Bombyx mori: one gene and its partner. The protein of the gene in region 2 interacts with the protein of the main gene of each other region in a pairwise test. Links are inferred from orthologs where the notes say so. Each region holds a gene or a part of one and is shown on either strand. Other genes may lie near its edges.

Evidence for each region.
Region 1: the proteins of vacuolar protein sorting-associated protein 51 homolog (region 2) and exocyst complex component 7 interact in a two-hybrid assay, tested with the Drosophila melanogaster proteins (2 studies listed by BioGRID). The link is inferred for Bombyx mori from reciprocal best matches to the Drosophila melanogaster genes Vps51 and Exo70.

The regions. Positions count from the first base shown.
Region 1 is NC_085119.1:1,168,092-1,174,126, reverse strand, and holds the end of exocyst complex component 7, read right to left. Parts: intron 5,612-6,035; coding exon 5,505-5,611; intron 3,982-5,504; coding exon 3,885-3,981; intron 3,543-3,884; coding exon 3,348-3,542; intron 3,160-3,347; coding exon 3,118-3,159; 3' UTR 2,227-3,117; downstream 1-2,226. Other genes in the region: uncharacterized protein LOC101741349, read left to right, coding at 2,164-2,226. UniProt on the Drosophila melanogaster protein: Required for exocytosis. Thought to function in intracellular vesicle targeting and docking before SNARE complex formation.
Region 2 is NC_085115.1:1,406,896-1,413,439, forward strand, and holds vacuolar protein sorting-associated protein 51 homolog, read right to left. Parts: upstream 4,463-6,544; 5' UTR 4,093-4,462; coding exon 1,993-4,092; 3' UTR 1,661-1,992; downstream 1-1,660. Other genes in the region: uncharacterized protein LOC101744971, read left to right, coding at 1-160; uncharacterized protein LOC101737848, read left to right, coding at 5,255-5,429. UniProt on the Drosophila melanogaster protein: May act as a component of the GARP complex that is involved in retrograde transport from early and late endosomes to the trans-Golgi network (TGN).

The DNA of each region.
Region 1 (6,035 bases), on a different chromosome or scaffold from region 2:
AGCAACACTCCCGGTTTGAGCCCCGTGTTAAGGAGAAGCTGAAATAGCCTCTCAAGGCTATCAGTATAGGTAGGAAGAAAAAAAAACTGCACGTCTTCCATCGGCAGACAATGTGTTGTTTCCACGTTTCCATTGAGGTCTAGCCTCATTATTTCTAAAATAGTATTTAATTTAAAATATACACCATGATACCATTACGCATAATTAATTTTCAATGCCTTATACGATTGATACAATAAGTATTGTTTTAAAACATTTTTTTTTATTTGTGTAAATGTATGTTTATTTATATTTAAATTAACATTAACTTTAATTTAACTTGATTATCATAGCATGATATTGTTTAGTGAAGTAGGTAAATGTTTTTTGATATCGAATCCTTGATTCTGATTTTTACAAAAATCTAACCGAGACGAATCTATACGTAAATATTTTTGGCTAGACTCTGGACCTTTAGGTTAGTTTTTTTAAAGAATTATTTGAAAAGTTTCAGGCAAATACAAATAAATAAAACTGAATCGTGTTTTATAAAATCGAACTACCTACCAACTTTTTACTAAATACATTTTTATAGGAAAGTAAAAAAGGTAGTAATAAATGTCTGTTTGTTTCGGTTAATCTCCGCTATCGTTAGTCCGATTTTGAAGAGTGTAACTGGCAGATAACTGATATTATAAGAAGTAACTTAGGCTGTTATTTAAAAAAAAAAGGAGGGTACCGCGTAAAAGAACAAATTGTCAAATTGTAATCAAATTGTAAATTGTCTATATTCAGACAAAACTGTACCTAAGCGAGGACGAGCTTAACTAGTTCGTAATTATATTAAAACCAATTATATGTTCATTTTGCATCGTTGAAGTCCTACGTACCTGAACTTTCACTTGAAATTCTGAAGTCTAATGAAGACCGGTATTTTAATGCATTCTTCGCGGCCGTGCAAATGGGTTTAGTCAGTTAAGGTAGTTCAAAAAAGTAGACATTAAAATATATATGTAGCATATGTAATATTAATATGTAACATAGCAATATAATGCATACAGTAAACATTATTAAAATTCCTAATGGACAAGTAATTTCAATAGTTTGCTTGACTTTCATTGCTTCTACTAACTTTCGTTATCCATACTAACATCTTCAAGTGAATCACGACTAAGTACCCTCTGTAATAAGACGGCCGTGTTATGTAAATGCATATCGAGGGGTGAAAGGCTAATTGGTTAAGCGACATTTTACTTAATACGCGACATTTATCTCTGTAATGAAAGGTGCGTTTTATTCGGTATTATTAGCATTAACAGTTCGATGTTATTAATTGAAACTCAACTAAGCTAACTCCAATCAAATAGCTGAAGAAGTATTTTTGATTCTTACGCGTTGGGGTTCGAGATAAATAAAAACTCTACCGACGTACAAATTAAAAATCTATTTAACACTTAGATCACTCACAGAACACTTTACAAGTCGTAGTTCACTTCTTCCGCTTCGCTTCAGGTGATCCGTTCGCTGTTTCGCTTCGAGTAGTTAAGATTACTAACTGCCTTCGTGTCATCTCTGCAACGCTTTCATAGTCGATACGACATCCCTAGATTTATCGAGAATATTCTGGGGAAGTCGAGTAGCTTTAATGTGTGTTTCCGCTATCTAACAATAGATGGCGTTGTACTTCTCGAGCGTTCTCGGTGTTACTAGTTCCTATGGTAATCCTTTCTGCTATTCGGCGATAGATAGCGTTACTCTTACCGACGTAACATTGTTAATTTCCTAAATTTAAACATAAAATGGCGCTCCTGTCAAGTTGCAAAAATGTCCCTTAAACCCAATAGCAATTCATCCCTCTATATGTTATATTGACAATGACGTCACAGTTAGTGTCGCATCGGAACAGATATATGGAATGAGTCGAATAGCTTCACAAGAAGACAATCCGTGCACAAGGACCTCACTATCGCCGTCTCATTTAGATGTTCATACTACAAGTATGGATTGATGCGGCATAATGGTAGCACCGTCCAGACAAGAATATACTAGGCAGCCTTAACCTGACCTATGATGTCATATGTCAACTAATCCAAGGACATTTTTTTTAAATTGACAAATATTACTTAGTTATTAACGTTTCTTATGTATATATTTCGTGAGACTTACTAAAGATCTTTGTTACAGTGGCCGAAGAAAAAAAGGAATAGGTCTCAAAGGAAAAAGAAAACGCCAAAAACTGATTATTAGTTATTTATTTCAATAAAAAAAAAATTATATAAAATTGACATGTTGAAGTGTTGTATTATAATGAATAAACGAATGATTGTTTATACACCGCTTGGTTTTCAATTATCAAAATTAAATTAACAGGTGATACAGGAAACGTAACCGTCTGCATGTATGCTCCTTAAGAATTCTAGATTCCCTCGGACTGATGAAATTTATTTTCTCTTACAATTTTGATTTCAGTTTTTATACAGTGAATATTATGATTTTTTTTATTGCCCTTGTAGGCAGACGAGCACACGGCCCACCTGATGGTGAGTGGTTTCCGTCGCCCATGGACTTCAGCAATGCCAGGGGCAGAGCCAAGCCGCTGCCTACCGCTGAAAATGTAATGATTTATCTGCAACCACGAGGAAAAACTAAGTCGATCAAGTAAATGACTTAGTTGAATGTATGCAGGTCGCGAGCGGGTGGTTGTCGAAGCTCATCGGCGTCGGCCGCCCCCTTGAGGCGTGAGGTCTGAGTCTCAACTGTTTGTGTGTAACGGCTGTCGCTCCCTTCGGATCCGAATACAGTTAGAATACGCTTAGTGCGAGTTTTTTAACTTCTCGATCACGTAAAAGTTAATTCAAATTTGTATCGTGTTGTAATCTTAATTTTTTAATTAAAATTTAATTAATTTATTGTACCTAAAATTACATTAGTTTATTAATTTAATCAAAACCACGTTTAATTAATGATTGCGTGGGCCGTCGGAATATTGGAGACACAGTTTTCAACGAATATACGAATATACCCGTCTGAGGATCTACAGCCGACACGTATAGTAAGTGATGAACAGTAATACGTGGTAATAATAATACGTAGTGTAATAGTAGTATTGATATAACATGATGGAACACATGTACAACACTAAGCAGCCTCATCGAAGTACCCGTCCAGCTGGGTGGCGATCTGGAATACAACAGTAAGTTATCAACAGATGTCGCTGCACGTAAATTCAACAATTCCTGAATCGCGGTGACGAGATGTTACAGAAATAGGCCGGGTGGTGCTACCTACCCGCACGGACCCACAATAGGTCCTACCACCAGTAAATATTTGAGTCCCCGGCCCGAAAAAAAAAATAGGAGGTGACGTACCTGCAGCGGCGTGTACTTGACGTACTTGTCGGGGTTCTTGGAGAAGGGCAGCGCGGCGGCGGCGTCGTAGAAGGCCGTGTAGGGCGGCAGCAGCGCCTGCTTGTTGTCGCGCTTCAGGGCCTCCCGCAGCTCGGCGTCGGGCACGCTGTACCCGCGCTGCAGCCGCGTGCACTCCTCCCACTCGCGGTTGAAACACTGCTCGTAGACAATATAGATAAGCTATTCAAACGCTCAACAAACATGTTTACGGGCGTCGGCCACTAGATAGCTTCGCTTCGATTACTGATGGTAGGATCTCTTGTGAGTCCGCACGGGTAGGTACCACCACCCTGCCTATTTCTGTCGTGAAGCAGTAATGCGTTTCGGTTTGAAGGGTGGGGCCGCCTTTGGAACTATACTGAGATCTTAGAACTTATATCTCAAGGTGGGTGGCGCATTTATGTTGTAGATGTCCATGAGCTCCAGTAACCATTTAACACCGGGTGGGCTGTGAGCTCGTCCACCATCTAAGCAAAAAAAAACCTCAGAGCTACTTACCGAAAATTTGTCTTTGAGCATTTGCCGGTCCCTGTCCCTGAGTTTGGCGGGGAGGGGCTCGTCCAGCTGCACGTAGGACAGCAACTTGTTCCAGCTGCTGGCCAACACGCATTGTTCGAGAGAGACCGCCTTTTTTTTTCTACCTGAGCTGAGAGCCTTGAGAGACTATATCAGCGTAGCCTTAACTAGTAGGTGAGCTCACGGAGTTCAAACCTGATGGCATTGCTAACACGAGCCTTAACAAGAGCCGTACTCCACAGAACCTACCACCGGTTCGCGGAAACGCGACCCTCTGAGAAGATCTTGCGAGAAACTCAGTGGGCTGTGACTGTGGGTTAATTTACTCGTCGAGCCCTTCGTCGCAAGCGACGGGTTCGACGAGAACTATGACCGGGAGACCACCTCCGACTCCTTCATAGCTCAACAACGGACGCGTGATAGGACAACCGCATCATGTCTATAGGCGAGTGGGTGACATTCCCTTTCTTGTGTCTATGGCCACCATGACCTTGGCCCGTCTACAGTGTCTACTGGAGGTATATCCTTTTCTATCCTAATATTAGAATAGTTAACTGACTTTTTGGCGGGAACGCAAGGAGTGAAGTTGTGTGATTTATTTTGTCTATTTAGTGTTTCTTCGGGTATAAATGTGTAATAACGGTGGTTTATTAACTGTTTAATATCTGTGAAAGTGCACAAATGTGGGAAAATGAAACAAAGCCGCCGGACGAAACTTCTCGGGTTCCTCCAAAAAGTCCACTGAAAAAATCTCAGTAAATGACCACTATTTTACTGAGATGGTATTTCATCTCGTTTCATTTAATTTAATCTCATTTGATTAATGTCTCAAATTAATCATCTTCATTTCATTTCATTTCACTTCATATTATCATTTTTCATAAAAATAAGAATGTAAATGAAAATAAGAAATGACTTAAAGGTCTTAGTTACCAGGTCATAAAATCCCATAAAAAAAAGAATAGTTAACTTGTTAAATAGTTGACTGGAAGAACTAATTGCAAGAAAGCTCCTTGCGTTTATGTCAGCCTGGTAATTCCAATGATGTATAAAGGCGTTACTTCATTCTATTTACACGAGCAGACAGGTCATCCGACAATAAGCAAGTGATCTTAGGGCCAAAGAAGCGTGCACTTTTAATGGCAAGTGGGACTATGACCTCAAAGTAATTGTACTTTGAGACATGAGGTCGAAGTTTCTAGTATGACTTACAACAGAAACAGAACTATAGTACTCTTAGTTCGCTAGACTGTGATCGTACGAAAGCTGACAGTGTCAGTGGGCTGTCGATACACGGCTTTTACTAGGTTAAATTATCGTCTTTTTACCGAAGATTGTTGTAGATATCATTTTCTTTTATTCCACTTCCGTGAAGACGGAAAGTATAGCTCTCTCTTTCTCTACCTCATATTTCTCTAATATCAATTTTCGTCTACTTATCGACACCATCCTTTGGCATGTCTACCACGAAGCCATCCTACGTATCGACCTGAGGGGTCATACAAGCTCGCGACTCAAACGGGGCCGTTTACAGCGCGATAACGAATATTAGGAATGATTGGCTAGGGTGAGGTTATCGTGTCCCTGGGCCGCGGCGGGTACCTCTGCAGGTAGGCGCTCTTGTGCTCCTGCAGCATATCCCGGTAGTTGGCCTCGCAGTCCGGCTCCGCCAGGCACAGGATCTCCAGCAGCCCGGTGCGCTGCAAGCCCTGTGAGGACAACTGTGTGCTTAGTGCAAGTTTTTTAACGTTCTCGATAGCGTAAAAGTTAACCCAATTTTGTATGCAGTTGGAACAGCGCCCCTAGCGGCAAACGTAGGCAAACGATCCCATTCCAGCACACTGGTCGTTAGACTCTATCACAATTAACACTATTGTACTAGTAAGTAGTACTACTTACGAAAACAGACCTAAAACCTGTTTAGGGGATGTACTATTTTTTATTGCTTAGGTGAATGGACGAGCTCACGGCCGACCTGGTGTTAAGCGGTTATCGGAGCCCATAGATGTGACACCCACTATGAGATATGAGTTCTAAGGTCTCAGTATAGTTACAACGGCTGCCCCAACCTTCAAACCGAACCGTATTACTGCTTTACGGCAGAAATAGGTAGGGTGGTGGTACCTACCCGTG
Region 2 (6,544 bases):
CGACGTTAAACCTCCAGAAGCCCGGAAGTCACTCAAATCCTCTGACAAACTCGAAACTTCCAAACAAACGACAGTAGTCAAGGCGAAAAGGAACACCGCCCACAGAGGCGTCCCCGTGCCCGAGAAAATGAGGAAACTCATGCAAAAATCGAAATCATAATGGTACTTAACAAGAGATGTGAGCCGCACATGTTAAAATGGCAGATCCAATACACTCCAGGCGATGTACTCCTCCACGCGAGTGTGGCTCACTTCGTGTTCTTGTATCGTAAATTTTCGAAATCGACTGAATTTTTGGGACGATGTTCGTAGAGTATAAGAATGTTGCTAGTTGTATGGAACCACGCATCAAGAAGCTCATTATAATATAAAGTAACAAACGGACCATGTTTTAAATGAAATATATGTACCAGTTTGGGAACTTTAATTGATTGCATCATTTGTAACAAATACTTTATGCGTCCAGACAGGACTAGCGTTTACTTGTCTGTTTGTAAATGAGAAGTTTATATATTATAGCAATTATATTTTGTCAATTTGTTGTAGAGGTTATATTATATGTGTAAGATTAATTATTATATTTCTGATAAAATATTGGAAACATTTTCAGTTTTAAATTGTATTTTGGGATACTTGTCTAGTAATAGTCTAATTAAATCGTTTTCTAGGTCAGACGAAGATGTGTAGGACAATGTTAAATTTCTTTTTGTGAGCTTATTTTTTCAGAAGTCGTATGCTACGAAATTTGTTTTTAATATAGCCGTACCGGGTGTAAGGCTCCCGACAACAAAGACAGGTGGTGACTGATGATTCCTGAATAAGAAGTGTGGATATAAAATTAGCTAAGGCCACAATATCGTGATCATGTGCAGAACTTGTTCTAGTACATGCAGGATTTACTAGAATATACTAGACGGAACATACTAGAATTCGCATACAGAAACTACAAGTATTTACATATAGCTGAGCAAAATTGTACCATAATTATTTTTACACTAGCGTATTATAATGAAGTACAGGGGCAGTGCCCGCTAATTAATATCCTTAAATTATGCATATTTTTCGTGTGCTAAAGTTTCCTTTTCTAAATCGGGATTCTTACACTCTATATGTAAACAGATTAAATATTATTTACTATCCACTGAGACTTTCTGATCCAATTCATTAGGAAATAGTGAATCTATTGCAATAGTAAATTTCACGGTCTAGTTGTATCCATCAATTAACATCAACATGATTTTAACTTCAAATCATTATATCTTCAATACGTCACCTGTTTATAGATTCAAGATTAAGGATGAAATATCTGTTGTTGCCAATAACTATCATTACCTACTTATCTTTTTTTTTCTTAATTAATACATCAACCTTGATCATTTACCACTACGATGAACTAATCTAAATGCGATGATCATCATAATTTTTTTAGTGAACTAGGACCAAAATATATAAATAATGTCTGTTTTGAATAGTATATTAAAATGTTTTTAATTTTAATGATGTTTATCTACGTGACTAACAAAAATGCAAAAAACAGAGTAGCAGTCTTGTGAGATTTATGTTTTAGAAGCATTTAACATGAAATTTTATAAATGTAGATGATATTATTTTTAATATGATGCAATTTTGATTAATGGGTTATAAATAAAACTACTAAAAGTATAAATAATTGTTTGTTTATTTAATACTAGCGACCCGCCCTCGCTTCGCTTCGGAAACATTAAAACACACATGAAACCAAAAAAAAAAAAAAAAAGTAGCCTATGTTCATCAGGGACAATGTCGGCTTCTAATGGAAAAAGAATTTTTCAAATCGGTCCAGTAGTTTCGGAGCCTATTCGAAAGAAACAAACAAACAAATCTTTCCTCTTTATAATATTAGTATAGATAGTATAGATTTAAGATTGGTATTTAAGTCCCTAGACTAATCTAAATTTGAATCATATGATAATTAAGCCAGTTTTATCAATACAAGCATCATGTTCTTCTCCTTCAACCTCTTTCACAAATAATATCTACAATACTAGGTTCCATTAGTTGTGGGTCAACGCATCTCAACTGTGCTGATGCTAAAGCATCTTCAAGCAAAGCATTTAGAAGCCTCTCATCATTGCCCATACATGAAAGCCTTTGCTGTAGAAAGTGAACATCAACTTGTAATTGCTGTAGGCCATGCCTTCCAAATGTGCGTAGGCGCACACATTCAACTAATGCTTTCAAAGCTACTTTTAGGGCACCATTTGATAGTGCAGCTCTGTCTGCCCCTGCAGGACTAAACACTTCAATTCTTTCAGAGAATATCCTATTAAGAGGTGAAAAAGAAGAAGGAGCACGTGACCAAATAGTACGCCGACTGGAGTCACTAGAAGGTTTAATACTAGTTGGAAACAGTTGAGATGCAGCACCATCAGCACTAGCTAAGGTCTCCACTACTCTTCTGCATACTGCTCTTGGCCCCCTTGGTTCTGGAGCTCGCAACCAATCTCTAGCTAATACAGATACTCTCAACATTTGGGCTGCAGTCTGGCCAATAAATACAACTTCTGAATCTAGTGCAGTCTGCGCTGCAGTAGATAAGTGGACCATGACACTACTAGTATCCTTGTTATCCACAGTGAGGCCAGGAGCAGCCTCTTCTAAGAGTTTGAGAAGATGGTTCTGTAATGTCGAGACACCAGTCTCTTGCATATCCAAACATAGCTTAGCTAGTATAAGTAGCAATTCAAAAGGAATGTTGTTATTTGAAGTCTGAAGGCAAGCCATCTTTTTTACCAGATCAGAAAGATTAGCCATAGTTTCATTTATGACTTTTGAGCAAGCATCAGCTACTGCTTTTGCACACCAAGGTTTTAATCCAAATGATAAATTATTTTGTAAGAATGCCATTAGATCTAAGAGTGAGGCTTGGATTTTTTGCATCAGATATACTTGAAGGGAGTTCAGTATATCTTTTAAGTCAATTGTTTCTGATCCTTTACTGGCCAAAGACTGCCTTACTTTCATAAGACTGTCTTTAAATTGAGTCTGTATGCTCTGGTACTGTACCATAGCCTTGTGATTTATACACTGAATGACAACCTCAGTGCCTTTACTGGACATCATATCACTTGATGATATTTCGGTCATAGCCTGGAGTTTTCTGAAGAATTTATCAAGGCCCCTTATTAACATTTCAGTTCCGTTGTTCTCAGGTCTTTTAATGACCTCTTCGAATAAATGAAAAATTTGAATCATTATTTTATCAGCAAATTCGGGTATGATAGCTTCCTGTTCGAACATTTCATTGTAACATGATATTATAATAGCTAAATCAGCCAACAATGTATTATTGCATTTTTCTACCCAGTCCAAAATGTCTGTATGTTCAGCTATAGAACTGAGCATCTGCAAGTGTTTGTCAAGACGACTCTCTGCACAACTAAGGAATATATCTTGTAAGGATGAATCACTTTCTTGGAGCTGCCTTAAAAGGGCTACACTTTCAGCAAGTTCAGTTGCAGATGTATTAGGACTGATAAGTCTTTCACGGAGTGTCTTCTTCAGTTCAAATATAATTTCTGAACACTCAGTCTGTATGCTTTGGAATGAAGGCTGATTGCCATATTTTTGGAGTACTCGCTGAGCATGTGAATAGTCTTGTACAGCATCACTGTATCTGCCTTCTGCTATTGCTTTGTTAAGTTGAGAAGGTAGAAGGAAAAGGAACTGAAGTTTATCTAACAGCTGTCTTGTACCACACAAACGTCGAACATTATTACCGCTGCCTTGGAGATTTTCAGATATTTGAGAGCTGAATGTAGTTATTTTATTGATATTCTCGCTAAGTTTATTCATTTCTTCTTGCATTATTTTAAAATCGGAACGCATTTTGCGTACAGTTTCGGTCGCCGAAATAAATTTATTATAATTTTCATAAACCAATGTCTGCATTTCTGATTGTAGAAATTGACTTTGAGTTACAATTTCCGCTTCTTTGTCCATTACTTGCTTTAGGGTAGCGCATTTTAGAAGACAATCTAAGTAGACGTCTGGGCTGAAACTACTGCTGTCGATGTCCAGAGGATTTTCTTTAACCGCTTTGGCTTCCTCCATATTATGTACTTTGTTCAATAGGTATAAAAGTGATTCGTTTAAAGCTAATCTCCTTAATAAAATATATTTGCGGTTTATTGGTTCGTCTGCAATTCTAATTTACCAAAGAGAATAACTATTTAGAAACACAACATTTCAGCTGCGAGGACTGACGTCGATAAGACCTTATGAGAATGAGAACAATTATGTTTATTTATACTATTTCCTACTTTACTAATACTCCGTCTTATAAATGCAGTTTTAGAATAAACATTAAAGCTTATATATTTTATTTCTGTATATACAATAATGAACATATGTATACATTGTATACTATACATACATATAGGTATGTACGTTTGATAATATTTCCCCATTTTTTTAAATAATTTTTTCTGGCTTGGAAACAAAGTCTTTTAAGCCAAATTAGCTTTTATTATTAAAATTTATGCAAGGTAATCTTTATCATACGTACTGCTATGTACTGCGTTTTTTGAATATTTTATGACTGGCCTGGTAACAAGACCTTTAAGCGAAGTACTCAGTACTTACTAGTCCACTGAGTTTCTCGCCGGATCTTCTCAATGGGTCGCGTTTCTGATTTGGTGGTAGATTTTGCAAAGCACTGCTCTTGCTAGGGCCAGTGTTAGCAACAGTTTGAACCGGTTTGAACCCTGTGAGCTCACCACGTCAAGGCGAAGCTGAAATAGCCTCTCAAAGCTATCAGCATTGGTAGGGAAAAGTACTTATATTCATTTTAATTATATTACTTATGAGCATACACGGGTAATGCACTAAATATAGAAAAGAACCACGGGTACTGTATTATTTCCTATGGTAGTTCAGAAGATCCATGGTGGAACATCCACGCAGCCTTCCTCTTCTTCTTATTACGTTATCTCATGTTATTGCCCTTATCTCACTTCTTTTAATTCTCTTTTAATTCTTTTAATATATCCCATCGCTCCTTTTGAGTTTTCTGACAACAGCCAGCCTTTCATAACAAAATATTTGGTTGTATAGTCAAATATATCTTTGCCTATAATAACGAATCAACCAAAAAAATATATTTTGAAGTTTGTGTGTTTAAATTTGAAAACTTTCTGTTGCGAATTGTTTTGTGATTTTTTTGCTAAAATACTTCTCATATACAATAGAAAACTTGGGAGCAAAAAACGTAAGGATGGCTCCTCGAGATGTCCCCAAACCTACGCCTAAAGTGCAACGAATTGTAGGGAAGACTAATCAGACTAAAGGACGCGCTTCGCCTGCGTCTGTTAAGAAAACGATGTCGTCTATCAAAAAGGCGACTGACAAGATACCTTTAAAATGTAAGATTCCATTTTTACACTCTCGAGGTGAATCTATTCAATATCTCTTCCTTAGGCTTGAGGTTTGAATTTCCAAAGATTTCTCAACGGATGTTCTTCAATTCCGAGAGCCGTAGGCCTTTAATTAAAATTTTTTTTTTTAAATCTCGTTTAAAGTTTTCATTTTATTATTTCCGACTTTTAGTGATCACAAACGGCTTATGTATTATTCGCCAACATTTGCATATTGCTCTAAGAACGATCTTATCAAGAGAATCAAACTTGAAATCCTTAAAATGCAAATTGTAGTTCCTATTTACATCCGAGGACGTCGTGTATTAAAACCAAATAACATAAGTAGCAACTGAAAAATTCAATAACTACTGTGATATCTTGGAAATTTGTGTCCTAAGGAAAGCACTAAATTTGTCAAAGTCATATGGAATGGAAATGAAATAAATAAAAACAAATAAATAATTTCTAAGGCAAGGCTGAAAAGGCACTTAGAATACCTGACTTAAAAACTTTAAAGTCAGGTATTTCTAAGTGCCTTTTTCCTTATATTTATTTTTGAATAGACTCTAATGAAGGCTTCATGCCTCCAAGTGGTCTCTGAGCTCTTACACCCAATATATAATATGTAAAAAAAAAACTAGTAATTACAGTCAAAATTTGTTATAACGACGTCGAAGGGACTGCTTATATTCAGTCGTAAAAACCGATAGTCATAACAACTGGTGATGTTTAATGTGTATCGTGCAAGTACAAACAAATTGATAGGGAATTATTGGAAAAATATATTTATTCAACTATGTACATAAGTACAATGCTATTTTTCTGTGAGCATAAAATCTGCAATTTTGGTCTGTTTGGAACACTTCTGCTGTGCATAGATATTTTGTAATTCACGTTGGATTTTAATTAACGTATCGTCATAATTGCTGTGGATGTGTTCATTAAAAAGAACAATCTTTCTTAATACACTAACAGCATTGATACCATCATTCAAAGTTGGTACAGTAAATTGTTCTTCAGAGTCTTCCTGTTCGTCATCTTCTTCTTTAACATTTCGTATAATATCATCTTCTGTAGCTCGTGCGCAAATTGCAATAGAGTTATCTACATCAATGAACTCTGCTGCTTCAGTAATAGATAAAGCAGGT